4 linked regions of the Arabidopsis thaliana genome follow. The protein of the gene in region 1 interacts with the protein of each later gene in a pairwise test. Each region holds a gene or a part of one and is shown on either strand. Other genes may lie near its edges. The genes, in order: CRK10, LAX3, PUT2 and ANT1.

Evidence for each region.
Region 2: the proteins of CRK10 (region 1) and LAX3 interact in a protein complementation assay, tested with the Arabidopsis thaliana proteins (one large-scale study listed by BioGRID).
Region 3: the proteins of CRK10 (region 1) and PUT2 interact in a protein complementation assay, tested with the Arabidopsis thaliana proteins (one large-scale study listed by BioGRID).
Region 4: the proteins of CRK10 (region 1) and ANT1 interact in a protein complementation assay, tested with the Arabidopsis thaliana proteins (one large-scale study listed by BioGRID).

The regions. Positions count from the first base shown.
Region 1 is NC_003075.7:12,136,425-12,141,461, forward strand, and holds CRK10 (cysteine-rich RLK (RECEPTOR-like protein kinase) 10), read left to right. Parts: upstream 1-1,570; 5' UTR 1,571-1,746; coding exon 1,747-2,581; intron 2,582-2,701; coding exon 2,702-2,839; intron 2,840-2,922; coding exon 2,923-3,041; intron 3,042-3,134; coding exon 3,135-3,345; intron 3,346-3,437; coding exon 3,438-3,675; coding exon of another isoform or gene 3,676-3,676; exon of another isoform or gene 3,677-3,807; intron 3,808-3,811; coding exon 3,812-3,962; coding exon of another isoform or gene 3,963-4,022; exon of another isoform or gene 4,023-4,038; coding exon 4,039-4,356; 3' UTR 4,357-4,498; downstream 4,499-5,037. Other genes in the region: CRK11 (cysteine-rich RLK (RECEPTOR-like protein kinase) 11), read right to left, coding at 4,773-5,037.
Region 2 is NC_003070.9:29,199,869-29,205,186, reverse strand, and holds LAX3 (uncharacterized protein), read left to right. Parts: upstream 1-1,768; 5' UTR 1,769-1,869; coding exon 1,870-2,040; intron 2,041-2,122; coding exon 2,123-2,308; intron 2,309-2,411; coding exon 2,412-2,524; intron 2,525-2,607; coding exon 2,608-2,791; intron 2,792-2,891; coding exon 2,892-2,989; intron 2,990-3,078; coding exon 3,079-3,544; intron 3,545-3,760; coding exon 3,761-3,955; 3' UTR 3,956-4,770; downstream 4,771-5,318. Other genes in the region: AT1G77700 (Pathogenesis-related thaumatin superfamily protein), read right to left, coding at 1-39, 365-440. UniProt on the Arabidopsis thaliana protein: Carrier protein involved in proton-driven auxin influx.
Region 3 is NC_003070.9:11,418,068-11,422,729, reverse strand, and holds PUT2 (Amino acid permease family protein), read left to right. Parts: upstream 1-1,768; 5' UTR 1,769-2,046; intron 2,047-2,306; 5' UTR 2,307-2,367; coding exon 2,368-3,855; 3' UTR 3,856-4,141; downstream 4,142-4,662. Other genes in the region: PUT1 (Amino acid permease family protein), read left to right, coding at 4,591-4,662. UniProt on the Arabidopsis thaliana protein: Probable cell membrane polyamine/proton symporter involved in the polyamine uptake in cells.
Region 4 is NC_003074.8:3,756,409-3,761,259, reverse strand, and holds ANT1 (aromatic and neutral transporter 1), read right to left. Parts: upstream 2,809-4,851; 5' UTR 2,738-2,808; coding exon 2,492-2,737; intron 2,392-2,491; coding exon 1,744-2,391; intron 1,562-1,743; coding exon 1,157-1,561; 3' UTR 1,103-1,156; exon of another isoform or gene 882-1,102; intron 859-881; 3' UTR 509-858; downstream 1-508. Other genes in the region: AT3G11890 (Sterile alpha motif (SAM) domain-containing protein), read right to left, coding at 3,651-4,851. UniProt on the Arabidopsis thaliana protein: Translocates aromatic and neutral amino acids such as tyrosine, tryptophan, phenylalanine, histidine, proline, leucine, valine, glutamine, as well as arginine. Transports the auxins indole-3-acetic acid (IAA) and 2,4-dichlorophenoxyacetic acid (2,4-D).

The sequences.
Region 1 (5,037 bases):
GATGTTTACTTCGTCTGATCGTTGAACTGGCCCGCTGCAACATTCTGAGTGTTCCAAGTGATTATTCTAGTTGTGCGTAACACCGTAACAGTAAAAATGAGCTAAGGAAAGCGAGATGCAAGGGAGAACCAACAGAAGCATAAGTTTTTCCTCTGTTATTACTAATGGAAAAAAACTTTCTTTTTCATTTTCTAATTCCTTGTCAGATTTCTCAGCTTCTCTTCTTTTTGTTTTGTGTAAGACTTGGTCGGAGTCTTAGATTACGCTGATGATTAAAAACTACTAAAAAAGAAAAAAAAAAGAATATTACGCAAATGTTCTCGATGCATTGACCAAGTCCTCTTCTGGTTCTGGCTCCATTTTCACATGCAGGCCCATAACCAATTTTAACGAGATTTGTTGCATGAAAAGCCGATTGTTTTTCCTTGGCAGTAACGAAAAAAAATTAGTTACTTTTTAAAAACTAGGGTTTTGAATAATATCATTAAAATCAAATAGAACGAACTAGGGTTTTGGCATCATACACCGCCTCATTCAATTATTAACAAAGCTGAGTCTTCTTCACGGAGAAATCACGGCTGAGCTAGGTCTCATATACCTTGCATCAATATCTTGGGCCTTTACTAGGATCGGAGATACATCAAACATAAAATACTTCTCGGTTTTATTTTCTCTTTCCTTATGTATATGTGAATGCCTTTAAAAATTTTGATTGCCTTTTTTCTCGTTTTGGAATAGTCATGAGAAGCTGAGAACCAAAAAGGAAATATTTCTCACCTTTGCAACTAGCTAGATGGAGCTTATGGATGCAAAATTCGTTTTAAAACACATTGTATTCGGATGATGTCAAAATATTTCACATTCATATAGCAAATTCATGTTTATATATTCCGATATTAACTTTAAATATTAAAACTTATATGCTGTAGATTCATATCCGGGTGAAAACACGAAAGGACTTATGATGGAACCATTATATGGAACGACGTCATGTGGAATATCAAGTTATTTAACTTCTCGCGAGTAAGACTATAAAAAGTAATAGAATAATTAGTAACTAACAATATCAGATAACGATAGGCAGATGATTTGGTAATACTATTTTAGTATCACTACATCACAATAACCATACTAGCATATACGATATACAAATTAATAAATTATCGTGCTTAAAACAAAAACCTATTATCAACCAATAATTTCTTCGCATCAGTGGCGACAATTTTTTCAGCCCCAGAATGATTCTTTGAAGAATAGTCAACAAAGATTCCTAATTTCAACAATTCTGTTCAAGGAAAAGTACGAAACAAATTCTACTGCTAGCTAGTTTCTCTCATGTATATCTAAATTCTATTACTAGTAATTAAGATCTTTGAAATCATGCCAACTGCTACATTTATTTTCTCTTGAAAATCCCAACTACCTTTTTTTTGATCAAAAAAAAAAAAGACTTTAGAGTTCAAAGCTTGAATTTAGAGTTATTATGTTTTAAATTTTGACAGTTTTGATAATTTTCTTCATTTTAAAATGATTTTATATTTTCCGTAATTTTTTTCTATATTTCATATATTAAAAAAATAAGTAATGGATTAGTAGCTAAACACAAGAAGTTGGACAAGACCCGACAATTTAATACGAGACGCGTTGACCTTGACCTTGACTTTTCGTCAGCACAAAACGTTATCTACGGTAGTCACTGAGAGAGAACAAACAATCAAATTTGTTTCATATATCACTCAAAGCTTGATGAGAAGAAACACAGATCAAGAAAGCCCAATTATGTCTTATTACTCCTCTTTCTTCTTCCTTTTCCTCTTCTCCTTTCTCACGAGTTTCAGAGTTTCTGCTCAAGATCCCACTTACGTATACCACACCTGTCAAAATACGGCAAATTACACAAGTAACAGCACTTACAACAACAATCTCAAGACCCTTTTGGCTTCTCTTTCTTCCCGCAACGCTTCCTACTCCACCGGATTCCAAAACGCCACCGTCGGCCAAGCTCCAGACAGAGTCACCGGACTTTTCAACTGCCGTGGAGATGTCTCAACGGAAGTTTGCCGTAGATGCGTCTCCTTTGCCGTCAACGACACCTTAACTCGGTGTCCTAACCAGAAAGAAGCCACACTTTATTACGATGAGTGTGTACTTAGATACTCTAACCAGAATATTCTCTCGACACTAATAACCACCGGTGGAGTTATCTTGGTTAACACCCGGAATGTGACATCTAACCAACTAGACCTGTTAAGTGATTTGGTTTTGCCTACTCTGAACCAAGCCGCCACCGTAGCCTTGAACAGTTCCAAAAAATTCGGTACGAGAAAAAACAATTTTACTGCGTTGCAGAGTTTCTATGGACTGGTTCAGTGCACACCTGATCTCACGAGACAAGACTGTTCGCGTTGTCTCCAACTGGTCATCAATCAAATACCTACTGACAGAATTGGTGCAAGAATTATTAATCCGAGCTGTACTTCAAGATACGAGATCTACGCGTTTTACACCGAATCCGCCGTTCCACCACCACCACCACCACCGTCAATTTCTACTCCTCCAGTTTCAGCTCCTCCGCGATCTGGTCAGAGCTCTGTTTTTTTCCTCTGTTTTTTTTTTTTGCCCTGATTTCTTGAAATTGGCAAAACCAATATAGAGAGTTTTCTTCTATCTGATTTTTAAGCAAATAATCTTTGAAATGCAGGAAAAGATGGGAATTCAAAGGTGTTAGTGATAGCCATTGTTGTGCCTATTATAGTGGCTGTTCTGCTTTTTATAGCTGGTTATTGTTTCCTTACAAGAAGGGCAAGGAAGAGTTATTACACACCATCTGCATTTGCTGGTAAAGATTTCAAGTGATAAACGATCTTTAATGTCAATGCTCAGCTTGTTTTTCCTGCTTCAAAGACTTTCATTGTGTAACAGGAGATGATATCACAACAGCAGACTCACTACAGCTTGATTATAGAACAATTCAAACTGCAACAGATGATTTTGTAGAGAGTAATAAGATTGGTCAAGGTGGATTTGGTGAGGTTTACAAGGTAAATTATAGTTCCCTTGAGCTGTGTTTTTTTTTTCTTGAAATTTTAAGCCAACACTTTTGGATAATGGGATGATGCTGATGAAAACAACAGGGTACTTTATCGGATGGGACTGAAGTTGCGGTGAAGCGACTATCAAAGTCATCAGGACAAGGTGAAGTAGAGTTCAAGAACGAGGTTGTTCTTGTTGCAAAGCTACAACATAGAAATCTGGTTAGACTTCTTGGGTTTTGTCTAGACGGAGAAGAAAGAGTACTGGTCTACGAGTATGTGCCCAACAAAAGTCTTGATTACTTCCTCTTTGGTTAGTTGCATTTAATGCTTTGTTTCAATGATTCTTGATACTTGGGGTTACGAATGTTTAGAGATCTCATTGTGATTTATGGATGTGGACAGACCCTGCAAAGAAAGGCCAGCTGGATTGGACTCGACGATACAAGATTATCGGTGGAGTTGCTCGAGGGATTCTGTATCTTCATCAAGACTCACGACTCACAATCATACACCGTGACCTCAAAGCCAGTAACATTCTCTTGGACGCGGATATGAATCCTAAAATTGCAGATTTTGGAATGGCTAGGATCTTTGGATTGGACCAAACCGAAGAGAACACAAGCAGAATAGTTGGTACCTAGTAAGTCTTCCTCATAACTTCTCATAAGTTGAAGTTTTCTGAACATTCTTTTGTTAACATAGTTTTTGTTGTGGGTTTATAAGTTGAAGTTTTCTGAACATCCTTTGGTTAACATAGTTTTTGTTGTGGGTTACAGTGGTTACATGTCTCCCGAGTATGCAATGCATGGTCAGTACTCAATGAAATCTGATGTCTATAGCTTCGGAGTGTTAGTTCTTGAGATTATAAGTGGCAAGAAGAATAGCAGCTTCTACCAAACAGATGGTGCACATGACTTGGTCTCATATGTAAGTTTTAAACCTATCAAGTTCCATATTTACCTGAACATAGTTGCAAGTGTTGATTGATTGAATAATATTCTAGGCTTGGGGGCTTTGGAGTAACGGGCGACCATTAGAACTCGTGGATCCAGCTATTGTAGAAAATTGCCAAAGGAATGAAGTTGTTCGATGTGTCCATATCGGTCTTTTATGTGTTCAAGAAGATCCTGCTGAGCGTCCGACGTTGTCAACCATTGTTCTGATGCTCACTAGTAACACTGTGACTTTACCCGTGCCACGGCAACCCGGTCTTTTCTTTCAGAGTAGAATTGGAAAAGACCCGCTTGATACAGATACAACGAGCAAATCTCTTCTAGGGTCTGTTGACGATGCATCCATCACAGATATACATCCTCGATGATGATGAGTTTTTCCCTTCATACCTGATTCCTGAATCTATTGGTGTTGAAAATAAGTTAAAAACTTCTTTTGTTATAGAATGTTTGTATTGTAATTGTAACCACAAGCAAGTATAAGATATATACCATTTACACGTTTCTCCATGAAGACGTAACAGTGACTTTTCCCTCCAAATTAAGCTTACACAACGATCTAGCAGGTAATTTGATTCAGCATGAAGAGAGTAAAACCAGTAATCGAGAAACGATTCTTAAAGAACTGTGAACTGTTCATAAGCATTTTACAGTGGACACTGTACAACATACAATTACAGATAAACCTGCTATGTTTCTTATGTCCGTGGACAAATAATATAAATGTCATCTGACCATTTTTCTGTTACAACTTTTAAGCTATGATGAGGAACCACATCAATTTTTACGAACTAAATGAGGAAGACTTGCTTGTATACTGATCAGACTCTGATCCTTCAGATACCAGTTTCAGTTGCCTGCTTCGTGGGAAAAATCCCGGTAGGCGAGGCACTGGTAGAGTAATTGTGTTACTAGTCAGCATTAAGATGATTGTTGATAACATTGGACGGTCTTCTGGATTTTCTTGAACACATAACAGCGCGATATGGATGCACCTAGTGACTTCATTACTCTGATAATTCCTTCCAAAAGTTGGATCCACCAGCTCT
Region 2 (5,318 bases), on another chromosome or scaffold:
CAAATGTAATGTTATTTTCTGATCTTGAAGTGAGACTGGCTTTTTAAGGGAGGAAGAAAGAATAACTTGCATGGAGAGTCTATCGGTACAATTATAATAATCGGTTGTAGTACTATATGTGTTTTCAAATAATTAAGGTTCCTTGTTTTGGAATATGGGAAAGAGTTAGTTAGTGTTATTCGTTTCCTGATGTTTCATGCAAGTATTCTTTGGGATGCTGTTAAGGTAATCAAAGTCCAAATGGCCAAGGATCTATACTGTATGTGGCTTTTTATCTGTCTATTTGTATCTTCTATTATTGAATTTGGATAATCTTGTTGATATTGATTATTTTAGCCTTCATGTCATGGGTCAATTCATCTACCTACTGATATATTAGGCCTAATTAATGAATCATATGGCCCATTTATGTCGAACTCAATCTCAATTGTTCGGTCCATTCTTATATTCTGCTTTTTGAATATTACACCATTAATAAATTTGTATAGTCATGATCCTTTTTTTGGTTAAACAGATTTTCTGACGAAGATAAATTGATGAAAATCAAAACAAATCTCACAATCTTTGTCGTTATGGGAACCATCTGTAACCATCCAGTAGAATCGAGTTCCTGGTTTCAAGATGTCAAATTATTTAACTACAATGACTCGCCATTTTTTCAGTATTATTACCAATGATATCTGAATATCTGCTCTATTTAGGGACGACAATATTATATCTTTTGGAGATATCTCAATAGCCTAAATAAGGTTGAATCACAAAAAAAAAAAAAAAAAAAAAAACATTTGAAAATGCATATTTTAATGTCAATTGGCGATGAGTCTTCTTTCCGCTGCCATCCATTTTGGCCGGGTTAAAAAGCTATAAAGATCTAAAATGATGATACCTTCTCATTAATAATTCGATCCATTGTAAAAGTATGGGGCTAAAAAGGAGACATTTCTAAGAAATTAGTGAGTTAAATAAAGCTTAGACAGCTAGACACGTGTGGTAATTATGTTTACCACTAATCCCACCTGATTAGCAATCATTCTTTCCATTGGATCCATCTCCAATCCTCGATTACCTCACAAATCACTATTTCTTCCTCTCTTTTAACCAAGTTTTTCTACTTCTAAATCAAGCGTTTGGATGTGCGATGCCATATGGTAGACAAAGGCATAAATTTATGTAATTTCGAGTTCCAGGTAACAGCTATGTAATATAATCGGACAAAACATAAAAACTTAGAAATATAATTGATTATTCTACATAAAGATCGTTATCATCCTCATCACAAGAAGGAGGAAAGGACCAATATGTTTTATTCATTGTTTCTAGTTGTTACAATCATCATGATTCAAATAATTGTTAATGATAATAATAGTTTAGCCTTTCTTTCAAAAAAAAAAAACATCATTGTCATCACTTCTATTTTCAATTTACAATTAGTCTACTCTCACTACTTTAAACTTTAAAATCTATAATTAGCTAACCCTCTTTTTTTGCATATTATCGGGGTCAATATATAATTAACAATCTCAAACCGGGCCTACCCGTTCGTGTAATGCTCCAGAAATATGGCCCATAAGCCCAACAATCAAATCAAGCCCATTAAAAAAACAACGCCACGCTCGCCGAAAACAGTAACAGTCACAAGTAGGTGACATAACTCAGTCACCAACCAATCATAAACCGATATCCCCATGACAACTCGTGAGCTGTGACTAAAGACTTCGTCCCCCGACACTCGTTACTCAATAATTGCACACAGAGCAAAAGAAAGGAAACAAAACCCATAAAACAAATAAATAAATGAAAAAGCTTTTCACTAGTCTATTTAAAGAGTGGAAGTAAAGAAGCTAAAGAAACTGAGAGAAGAAGAGAAAAATGGCGGCAGAGAAAATAGAGACAGTGGTCGCAGGGAATTACTTAGAAATGGAGAGGGAAGAAGAAAACATAAGTGGTAACAAGAAATCTTCAACTAAAACAAAACTCTCTAATTTCTTCTGGCATGGTGGTTCTGTCTACGATGCTTGGTTTAGTTGTGCTTCAAATCAGGTATGTACTTCCCACAGATTTAGTCTTATATATAGATGTGTATGTATCGTCTTCTATAGCTAAATTGTTATAAAAATGGCAGGTGGCACAAGTTCTGTTGACATTACCATACTCGTTCTCACAACTTGGGATGATGTCGGGAATTTTGTTTCAACTCTTTTATGGATTAATGGGAAGTTGGACTGCTTATCTCATTAGTGTTCTTTACGTTGAATATCGAACTCGTAAAGAACGAGAAAAATTCGATTTCCGTAACCACGTTATTCAGGTTTTATTCCACCTCTAATTCTTGTGACTCGTTATAATTTTTTATTTTTTTGGTGGTATTATTGAATTTTAACTTTTTGTTTTTTTTTGTTTGTGTAAAAAAGTGGTTTGAGGTGTTAGATGGATTGTTGGGGAAACATTGGAGGAACCTTGGATTGATCTTTAACTGCACTTTTCTTCTCTTTGGATCTGTTATTCAGCTCATTGCTTGTGCTAGGTAAATTAATAATCAATGTTCATTTTCTTTATTATATGGTTTTTTCATATTGAAAATTAATTAATATAAAAAATGATTTGCAGCAATATATATTATATTAATGACAAATTGGACAAGAGGACATGGACATACATATTTGGGGCGTGCTGTGCAACAACTGTTTTTATTCCTTCCTTCCACAATTATAGAATTTGGTCATTCCTCGGACTCGCTATGACCACTTACACTTCTTGGTATCTCACCATTGCTTCACTCCTTCATGGCCAGGTCATTATAATTAACACAAATCTTGTTTTGATTATTATAAGATATAGACATATAGTCCTGGTTATTGTTGTTTAATATATTTATTTTTCATATAAAAAAGGCTGAGGATGTGAAACACTCTGGTCCAACCACAATGGTGCTTTACTTCACCGGAGCCACCAACATTCTCTACACCTTTGGTGGCCACGCCGTCACAGTGTAAGTATTTTTTTTTTGTTTGGAAAAATAAAATGGCTTAATTAATGGCTTAACTAATTATGTATTGGAAATTTGAAAAAATATAATAGGGAGATAATGCACGCTATGTGGAAACCGCAAAAGTTCAAGGCGATATATCTACTAGCGACCATATATGTACTAACGCTAACGCTACCATCCGCGTCTGCGGTTTATTGGGCGTTTGGCGATAAGCTACTAACTCATTCCAATGCGCTCTCTCTTCTCCCTAAGACTGGTTTTAGAGATACCGCAGTGATCCTCATGCTCATTCATCAATTTATAACGTTCGGATTCGCGTCTACACCGTTATATTTTGTGTGGGAGAAATTGATAGGTGTGCATGAGACGAAGAGCATGTTCAAAAGAGCCATGGCTAGATTACCCGTGGTTGTACCCATATGGTTCTTAGCCATTATCTTCCCCTTTTTCGGACCAATCAATTCCGCGGTCGGATCTCTCTTAGTTAGCTTCACTGTCTACATCATCCCCGCATTGGCTCATATGCTTACCTTTGCTCCTGCTCCTTCAAGAGAGGTTAGATTTCCAACTTCCAAAATATCTATTTTAAAATTATAATTGTTTCATAAAAAGCTTGTTACAATTTTAGTATAAGTTTACAAAGAATAATTGGAAATAGTATATTATTAGTTTATATTAAAATTATTATATAGTATCATAGATTATGTAAAAATAGCTAAAATAATATTTTGGTATATCTAATTTTTGTTAAGTTTGATATATCGTAAATAGAATGCGGTGGAGAGGCCACCGAGAGTGGTAGGAGGATGGATGGGGACTTACTGCATAAACATATTTGTGGTGGTTTGGGTATTCGTAGTTGGGTTCGGGTTTGGAGGATGGGCAAGTATGGTCAACTTTGTTCGCCAGATCGACACTTTTGGTCTCTTTACCAAATGCTACCAATGCCCTCCTCACAAGCCATGATATACAAATTTGCCATTCAAGACCTTCTAGAAAGAGAGTTTCATATAAGGGGGTTTTGATTTCGAGATCTAATATATATAAGTTACTACATCCAATTTTTTTTTAGTATTTATTAAAAATCACATCTCTTTGTAATTGTTTGACGACAATAATCTTTTACCTCGGGTTTGTTTAATTTGTTATGTTGAGTTATTTTTGGTAAATTGGGTTTTTTTTGTTCCTTAGTTAAGGTGTGATGGCTATCTTAGGCCAACCCTATTATTATTTAGTGTTCTTCTATAGCTCAAGAAAGTTTCATGTGTGTTTTGTGTTTAATGATCTCGTTATTCTCTTTTACTGAGATTTAATTTCATCGTCATTTGAAGTGCACTGAGTTTTTGATGAAAATTGACTATAAATTCTGCGATCAGTCCAAATGAAATGATATGGAAATACATGATTTAAAATCATACAACCTCGTGCATCTATACTCTATAGTAAAATAAATTTATGTGGGTAAGATTATGAGAGTTTTATTTTAGAATACATTAGATTATCTTTGAAGCAATCAAATATTGATCTAAATTAACTTTTTTTCTTCTGAATGTGAGTGATCCCGATCTGAATCCATCATGGGCAAATTAGCATCACATCACAAAAAGGGAAATGAAAGGCGTATCTTTATAAAAGAAGCAAAAGGCAATGGCAGGCTCTGTGTCAGTGTTGTTAGTACATAATTAGGCAGACTTTTTACACCAATTGATTCAATGGTTGGTGCTTGGTAAAGTCAAATAACTGATCAATCACATATGATTATTCGTTTAGTTAGATCATTTTTAAATAAAACCAAAATTGGTTACAAATTTTGATAGATGTATCACAAACAAAACAAAAATAAAGATGAAATAGTAATTCATCGCGATATCATCATTGAATAAAAACAATCAGAGAAGTAAACATATATTAGAAAAAAAACTTAAAGATGCAATAGTCATAGAAAACTCTAAAAGATCATTTAAATGAAACTAGTACTTAATACACTGCTCTTGTTAGTTCATGATTTGAACTAGTTTTCATATGACGTAATTAAGGAACAAGGTAGACAACAACAACAACATAAGCGATATATCGATATAGCTCGTAATAATTAAGTTGGAACAAACTCACTATCATAGTACCATGTCTACCCGAAAACTGACATTTGGGTTGAGTTTGCGAGATGGTTACATTTGACTAACAACTTCATATTATTATTAGGTACTATCGAAAATGAAACCTTTTTGGGGGTCAAAATCCAAAAAAAATGAAAATCAGTTTTTAAAAAAGCATTTAAACTCATAAAAATATTTCATTTATTGCCGGAACAACTAGACTTATTACCAAA
Region 3 (4,662 bases), on another chromosome or scaffold:
TGAGAAATGTGAACAACGGTTAATTACATTTGAAACCGGTTGAGGTTTTTTCACCACTCCAGAATAGTGAACTAATTCCAAATCTTAATTTATAAAATGTCAGTTTAAAAACAGTATAATCAATGTTAAATGGTTAATTCTCTTGTGCCCACAAAAAAAATAAAGTGGTTAATTATTATAAAGAAAAGCCAACCCAAACCGGTTGAGACTTTGTTCGAGAGAGTATAGAGAGACGACTAGTGTTTTATTAAGGATATTTGGTATTGATTTGTAGCTTTAGGGGGTGTTATTAGTTAATGGATTTTAATAGAATTGAAATCCAACACTAATCCACTGTTATTTAACTAATGATTTTAAATCCAGTTTTAAAATTTAGTGTTATTAGAACTCATTTTTGTAAATTATGCTTAATAGATTTTAAAGTTTAGTGTTATTCAATTAAGATTTTAAATATTTCATTAAAATCCAGTGTTATTCAAAACTAAAATACTGGTAAAATTTTTGTATATTAATTCATTTGAAATGAAATCTCTTTGTAAAATTCTTGGACATATTGCAGAGATTTTAAAATTCATACAAACATATTTTTAAAAGCAATATCAGAAAACAAATCTAAAGTTTAAAGAATTGACTTTAACTCTATAATTGAATAACACCACTTTAAATTGGCGAAAAGCTAAAGAGAATTAGTTGGAACAAAAGCCACAATACTTTGTGTACAGATTAAAAGATTATTTTTTCCAGTTGTGAAAATCCAAAACTCTTTACCAAAAAAAGCCTGCCGTATGTATATAAAGAAGAGAATTTGTTGGTGATAAGATTTCTTTAATTTGAGGCTACACAAAAGGAAGATATTTGAAGTTTTCTCTTGTTTGATTGGTAAGAAATAGTTGTACCGTATTATCACGACATACGGCAATTGCTACATGTGTATCGTGGTACAAACCCAATTAAAGGCTAGCCACTACCCACAAACACCGATCCGTATATAATTTAGTTTTTGAACACGTGCCTAAATTTAATCATGTATTGTTGTCCTTGTCCAATTTAAACAAGGGACCCATGAATTCAACAACCAAAATTCTAATTTTTTTTGCCTGAATTACTTTTTTTTTGGCTTGTTCAATTATCATTTGGGTAATTATTTTTCAAAATACAGTATATATAATATAGGCTTTGAAAGGTTGGTTCATATGATGCAAATTAGACCATGCGTAGTTGCGTATATTATTTTGGTAAGTAAAATGTTTGACTATAGTATAGAACAAACAATAGACAATAGTCTGCACTACAACATAGAATGGTACATTGGTGTCAAGTTTATGATGGGGTACAATGATTTTGGAGAGTGAATGCAAAAAACAAACCAAATAGTTATTATATACAAGTGCCTACTAGTATGAAATTTTTAAATCCCCAATCTTACATATTGGTCCGCAATTGCGAATCATGAATTAAGTGTGGATTGATCTAACTTTAATCCGATCCGCAATACACTAGGTAACCATTCAAAGTTTAATAGTGGTATATGAATTCCATATCTTTTGTTGGGTTAAAAAAAAAAAAAATCTCATACTATATTTCATATATTATGTACATTTTCATTTTGGTTTGAAGTTTCTAAATCATGTGTATTTGGTTATTTTCTAAAAAAAAAAGCATTAGTGAAGAGCTTTCTTCCTCAATTTATAGCAATTTAGTAAACTAATTAAGACTCTCAATTAGATTTTTGTAGTATAAAAAGCACATACGCAAATTTGAGATCCAGATTCCATCTTCCATGATCTCTCACACATTGTAAAAACATTTCTTCCGAGAAGCAAGAATCTTTTTAAAAAGCCACTCGATGACACGAGGCCAAATATATCTGTTTTTCCAATATATAAATAATTGTAATTCATTCTTTTGAAATCTGGGTTTATTCGACAAAAAGGGCTTTGTTTTGTTTTCTTCTTCAAGTATCTCTGGATCGTTCCAAAAGCTTTCATTATTCATCAACTTAACGAACGACGGAGATCTCAAGACACGACCCTCGATTCTCTCACGGTTCGTGCTTCTTCACCTCTCGTAAAGATTTATTCTTTTGTCATCGTTCACTAATTTTGACTTTTGAGTGATCTAGTTCTGAGATCTTTTAGTCTAAGCTCCTTTTTCGTTCTTTTGGATTTTGTTAATGCATATTGAAGATACCCATCTGAGAAAAGTAATAAAAAACTGTCCTTTTTTGCTTTCCCAATTACAACGAACCCTAAATTCAAAATTCAGAATCTGTAGCAAATTTGAGTAATTTATAAGGATTGTTGCAGATAACGAAAACCTTATTGGGATGTGGGAGAGTTCTAATCCGTTTAAAATCTGGATGACGTTATGCAGAAGCGGAGAATCATCACTGTGAACCCCTCCGCGTCTATTGAGATGAGTCAGTACGAGAATAATGAAGTTCCTTACTCAAGTGTCGGTGCTGATGAGGTTCCATCATCACCGCCTAAAGCTACCGATAAGATTCGGAAAGTTTCCATGTTGCCACTTGTTTTCCTCATATTCTATGAAGTCTCAGGAGGTCCTTTTGGTGTAGAGGATAGTGTGAATGCAGCAGGACCATTATTAGCTCTTCTAGGGTTTGTGATCTTTCCTTTCATTTGGAGTATCCCTGAGGCTTTGATTACTGCGGAGATGGGAACAATGTATCCCGAGAATGGTGGTTATGTTGTGTGGGTTTCCTCTGCTTTGGGACCTTTTTGGGGGTTTCAGCAAGGTTGGATGAAATGGCTTAGTGGTGTTATTGATAACGCTTTGTATCCTGTTCTGTTTCTTGACTATTTGAAGTCTGGAGTCCCGGCTTTAGGTAGCGGTTTACCGAGAGTTGCATCGATCTTGGTGCTGACTATTTTGTTGACGTATCTGAACTACAGGGGACTAACTATAGTTGGTTGGGTTGCTGTGCTTATGGGAGTTTTCTCCATCCTTCCGTTTGCTGTGATGGGTTTGATTTCGATTCCGCAGCTAGAGCCTTCGAGATGGCTTGTGATGGACTTAGGGAATGTGAACTGGAATTTGTATCTTAACACGCTTTTCTGGAATCTAAACTATTGGGACTCGATTAGTACACTAGCTGGTGAAGTTGAAAACCCCAACCATACACTTCCAAAGGCTTTGTTTTATGGTGTGATCTTAGTTGCTTGTTCTTACATCTTCCCTCTTTTGGCTGGAATCGGGGCAATCCCGCTAGAGCGTGAGAAATGGACAGATGGGTATTTTTCTGATGTGGCCAAAGCTCTTGGTGGAGCGTGGTTGAGATGGTGGGTTCAAGCGGCTGCAGCTACATCAAACATGGGAATGTTTATAGCCGAGATGAGTAGTGACTCTTTTCAGCTTCTCGGAATGGCTGAGCGCGGTATGCTTCCCGAGTTCTTTGCCAAAAGGTCACGTTACGGGACACCTTTACTAGGGATTCTGTTTTCAGCGTCAGGTGTTGTTCTCTTGTCTTGGCTAAGCTTTCAAGAGATTGTAGCTGCAGAGAACTTACTCTACTGCGTTGGTATGATCTTAGAGTTTATAGCGTTTGTTAGAATGAGAATGAAACACCCTGCTGCATCAAGACCGTACAAGATACCTATTGGAACCACAGGTTCGATCCTCATGTGTATTCCTCCAACCATACTGATCTGTGCTGTTGTAGCACTCTCGTCTCTTAAAGTAGCTGCAGTGAGCATTGTGATGATGATCATTGGTTTCCTGATACATCCTTTACTGAACCATATGGATCGAAAGAGATGGGTCAAATTCTCCATCAGTTCTGACTTACCGGACCTTCAACAGCAGACTCGGGAATACGAAGAAACTCTAATACGTTAAGAATGTCCTTAGTTATTTCCCTCGTCTATGTTAAGTACAGAGCTTGGAAGCTATAGCCAAAAAAGCTTAATTTCTCATAGTCTGTACTCTGTTTTATTCACAGCTTGTTCTAAAGTTGTAGTTTTTTCGTAAAGTTAGGTCATCGTTAGCACGGTTCCAATAAAATGTGCAATGTTTGTATCTCTGTTATGTTTTTGTCGTTGCCATTGTCGATTTGAAACATGGCTTTGGAAATTTGAAGTCTTTGAACAAAACCTTCGATCAAAGTCTGGTCAACAGTTGCAAAGCTTGGATCTTTGGATAAGTTTTCATCACCAATGATTGGAAAGAGAGAAAAAACCCTCACAAAACCCCAAAAAGCAGTATCAGTGTTTGACACGCAAACAAAATCGCTATAGTCTCAATTGATCGGAGGTTCTATCACCATCGTCTCCATCTGCATAATTTATTAAATATTTAGGACTTGTCATTGATATGGACACTCTCAAAACAGAGAACCACAATTTCTTCAATCCTTTCCAGGATATGACAAGTACAACGATATGGGTGAGTTTTGTTTTCTTCTTAAAGCATCGCTCAATCTTCAGACAACCCTAGATTCTCTCACGGTTTGTACTTCTTTACCTCTCGTAAATGTTTAGACTTTCGTATAAGGATCCAAGAATTTATCTGATTGTTTTTTTTTCTTTGTTTCTTTGTGTTGATTCAGAAGGGAAGTATCATTAGTTCATTACCATGGGAGACTATAACATGAATGAATTTGCTTATGGTAATCTTTACGATGATGATGATGGCGATGTTGGTGGA
Region 4 (4,851 bases), on another chromosome or scaffold:
TCTTAACTCTAAATTATTTTTTGTTTCAAGCTAGTTAGGTGATTTTAGTGCATAAGAAATTAGTTACCTGAGTAACAGAAAAATTGAATTAAAAATTAAGTTTAATTAAATTGAAAAATTACCAATTTCATACTTAAGTTAAAAATTAAAGAAAAGTAAAAACAAAATCTGGAAAATTGAATTAGGAAGACTAAAAAAGAAAATCGGTGTGTTAATTGTTTAAGAGACTGCATCCTGACACCATTAAATGATCATACAACAAATCTCAACTTTCTCACCATCTTTCTATTTCAGATTCATGTAAAAGATCCACGCATAATGACTGGGAGTCAAAAAGTATATTCCGGCGAGCTCCGGCGAGCTCCGGCGAGACGCATAATGAGGTTTCGATGGTGAGGATCAATATTAAAAAAGTTGGTAATGCATCGCCTTTTCTTTTCTTTTCTTTTTTTTTTTTTCTTTTTTTTTTTTTCTTTTGGCATGGGATCGTTACTTCCTTTTTTTCCATCTCTGAAGTGAAATTTTATTGATAATAAACAGATCATATATGGTTGGCGAAAAACAAAAAAGAAACAGATCATATATGGGCCAACAAGTTAAACGAAAACTAAGAAAAGCCCAAGAGAAGTCCATCGTTTGCGCCTTAAAACGATTAAATACGGAAATTAAAAAGATTTTAAAAAAAAACTACACGCGTGTATGAACTGAATCAAAACACGCACACCTTAAGCGCGTTTAGCGCGTGAGACAAAAATCCGTGGACTATATAACCCTCCGATTTGTTTTTTTTTTGCATAAATGAAAACATAAGAGGACCAACAGCGCGTGGGTCGAGTTTTCATTAGTGGTTTTAGTTACCTGAGTAACAGAAAAATTGATTAGGATTACCAATTTCATACTTAAGTTTAAAAATTAAAGAAAAATAAAAACAAAATCTGGAAAATTGAATTAGGAAGACTAAAAAAGAAAATCGGTGTGTTAATTGTTTAAGACTCTGCATCCTGACACCATTAAATGATCATACAACAATCTCAACTTTCTCACCATCTTTCTATTTCAGATTCATGTAAAAGATCTATACATTTTTTCTTGTCTGTCTTACCAAACTTCTTGTAGTTATATTCGTTGCTTTACACAGATCACATGCTATCCCTTTTCACACTCCGACGATTGTGTTGTACGTACCATAAACAGCAAAGATCAACCCGCAAATCACAATGAATACGTCGATGGATTTGTTCCATACATTTAGTGATGGACCGAGCAGCGTGAGGTGATAAGAAGCCGGCAACACAAAGGAGATGAGTGCGCACAAAGTACTTCCAACAAGAGATGCAAATGTACCAAACCCTGGGACTAAACTCGCGATTGCTGCAAGTCCTACCACCAAAAGTGTCCTCGTTGTAAAGATTGCAAATTTTGAGACTGAACCTGTTTCGTTGCTGTACCCATTATGATGCTTTTGAAGCCAGTCTATCCTCTTCAGTTTCTGCTCTATGATCTCGTTAAGCGGATGTACCATGATCGGAAATGTAAACGTCAATCCCACACATAACCCAATCTGTTTAAACCAAAAACAACAGAAAAAGTGTTGAATTCAAATGATTAACAAGTTTCCACACAAATCTATTGAAAATGGTTATCATAAGCAAGAACAGAGCATATGAATCTATAATCATAATGAAATGCGAGAAACATAAGTTCCCAGAAGAAGTAAAAACATTAGAATTGGCATAATTTTACCTGAACAGCAATGGCAGACCAATTATTTGGGAGGTTAAGAGTGATGATATCCTTTGTTTGATCACCATAAGCCATATAACCACAAAACCCGAACAACACATAGACAAACGTAATCCCGGCAAGCACTTTAGCTAACAATTTAGGGAAAGCTTCTCTTTCCCTCATAGAACTCTCCAAAGCCAACGTCATTGCAAAACCCTCAAAACAGAACACCGCAACTCCTCCAGCAAAAGGTAAACCACCAATGGTAGACGAAATAGCAGTTCTATCACTAAACGAGAAGTCTCCTTCAATCACCATTTCCACATTTTCTTTGACAACAAAACACATTGCTATGATGTTGCATATATCAGCAAAGATACTGAAAGGCGAGAGAGCTGATAAAGAAGTGATCCACGACAATCCAACTTCGATTGGAACCAGAATCAATATGAAAGAAACCATACTTAACCCATACGAACTAAATATGGATGACAAGTTTCGACCTATGAACACTAAATACGCTACTGATCCACCACATTGAGCAGTGAAAATGAGGAATTCGGTTAAGTATCGACCTTTTGTTCCCATACATTTGAAACCTAAATCACCATAAGTTTTCGATTCTTCTTCTCCTTCTTCCGATTCTAGCTTATCTCTGCACTGAATCTGCATATTAAAACAATCCAATTAGATTACGTTGTTGAAGTCGATTGGAGAAGTCAATAAATTATACTCAATTTAAGGATTTGGAAAAAGGTATACTAACGAGGAGGAGCATGCAGTAATAGGTGGCGAATCCGACGATAATGACACCGAGAGATCCGGCTAACCAACCGGCGATGCGGAATGCGTAAGGAAGACCAAGGACGCCTGTACCGACGATGGAGACGATAATGTTACCGAGCGTTTGAAGAGCAGAGGTTCTGTCACCGCCGGTTGTTTCAGACGGCGGAGATTTTATTAAAGGAAGAGATGAATCACCGGTCGTCGCCGTCAGGTCTTTGATCGCCATCGCCTCCTCTTATTTCTTTTTTTAATTATTTTGTTTGTTTCGATTTCACGATTGAAACATCGGAGACGTACGAAACTTTGCGGCCGCCATTTTTATAGGTAAACAATGAAACCCCGCCAAAGATTCCTCAATGTGACGTGGCACCTCAAGGTACCTCACATCTGGCTCGTGCCTACCACGCTCTACGTCCATTGGTCTGTGTGCAAATGGATGGCCCAGATAAGATTTGTTTCTTTTACTAATTCAATATTTCTGACATAATAGTTGTTGTTGATGGGATAAATAATGCTAATTGGAACTATATATAGGGTACATCGTGATCGTGTCTGCGACAACTCAAATAAAATGTTTTTTTTTTTTCTTTCTCGAAACTCAAATAATATGTTTCATTTTTTATGAAGGTTTAACTCAACTAGCATGTTTTAGTCGTGATACTTTACAAAATACGCTTTTTTTAATTCTTACATTCAAATAATTACTTTCAAGTTAGGGGAATCAAGTTTTGAATGATTCCACTCAAATTGAAAGATTTATGTTGAAATTGAAGAATTAGGGTTCTAGTGTTTCTACTATAAATTTTATGTTTAGTCATTGCATACGTTTCCAATTAGCAAAACTATAATGATTAACCTGAATTTTGGACTTTTTGTTTCTGGTTCTAGATCCTTTAGTGATTGAAAAAAAGAAGAAGAAGCAATATAATGATATTGCATGTGCAACGCTAATAGACGACTGATCCCCAAATAGTCAAATACAAAATAGCACGATGCAATGATCACATCAAACAGTGGATTGTTGCTCTGTTTTACATATATGGTCCAAAGAGTATCAATAACCAAAACAATACTAGTTGAACATCAATAAAGCGTAAGCTAAGTTTTATTGGCCTCAACTAAACTCTAACAGATAGTTCTCAGTTAAAGGAAGCACGTAGACAATGTGGGTGATAGACACAACCTATTGCATGTATAAGCTTTCTTCTTGGCCCAACGGCTAAAGCACCCATCTGCTTAAGCTTCTCCATTGTCAAATTCGCCATCTGAAACTTACTCATCCTCTGTCCTCTCAACATCCTCTCAAACTCTCTCCCTAATCCTATAGATCCAACCCATTCGTTCAACCCTCCCGCTTTCTCAACCTTCTTCTCCAGATTCAACACTCTCAGCTTCTCATTATCCATAACAACAGAGCTACACATCACTCTTGGAAACCTTATGGGCTTGTGACCCGCACGCCTCCTGTGGATCTCCACTCTTCTATCCTGATTCTTCCTACTTTCTTGCAGTGATCTCTTTGGTGCTGGAGCTTTCCTGGTTGTGAGACTGCGACTCATAACTATCTCCGGTTTGTCTACTGAGGTGAAATCAGGACAGGCCTCAGGTTCCACAGTTTGAACACGACTAGTTTCAGCTTGCGATTGAGAAGTTGCAGGCTTCTGCAAAGTGCAATGTTCAGTTACAGAAAGGGAAGGCATCGCTGTGTGAACATGGGTAGCTTTGTGTGTCAACGTTCTTACCTCAGCTTGTGATTGAGAAGTTGAAGGCTTGAGTAGACTGTAATGTTCAGGTACAGGAAGAGAAGGTATCGCTGCTGCGTGAACAAGAGTAGCTTTGCGCGTCTTCGCTCTTAACTCAGCTTGTGATTGAGAAGTTGAAGGCTTCTGTAGACTGTAATGTTCAGGTACAGGAAGAGAAGGCATCGCTGCTGCGTGAACAAGAGTAGCTTTGCGCGTATTCGCTCTTAACTCAGCTTGTGATTGAGAAGTTGCAGGCTTCTGCAAAGTACATAGTTCAGGTACAGGAAGAGAAGGCAGTATTGTGTGAAGAAGAGTAGTTTCGTGTGTATCCGCTTGTGATTGAGAAGTTGCGGGCTTCTGCAAAACGAAGTGTTGAGGTAATGGAAGAGAAGAAATCTCTGTTTGAAGAGGAGTAGTTCCATGAGTATCCGCAATAGACTCTCTTAACTCAACTTGTGACTGGGAAGATGTAGGCTTCTGCAAAGTGGAATGTTCAGTTACCGGAAGAGAATGCACCACTGTGTGAAGAGGAGTAGTTTTATGCGTATTCGCAATACAATCTCTGAACTGAACTTGCGAATGAGAAGTTTCAGGCTTG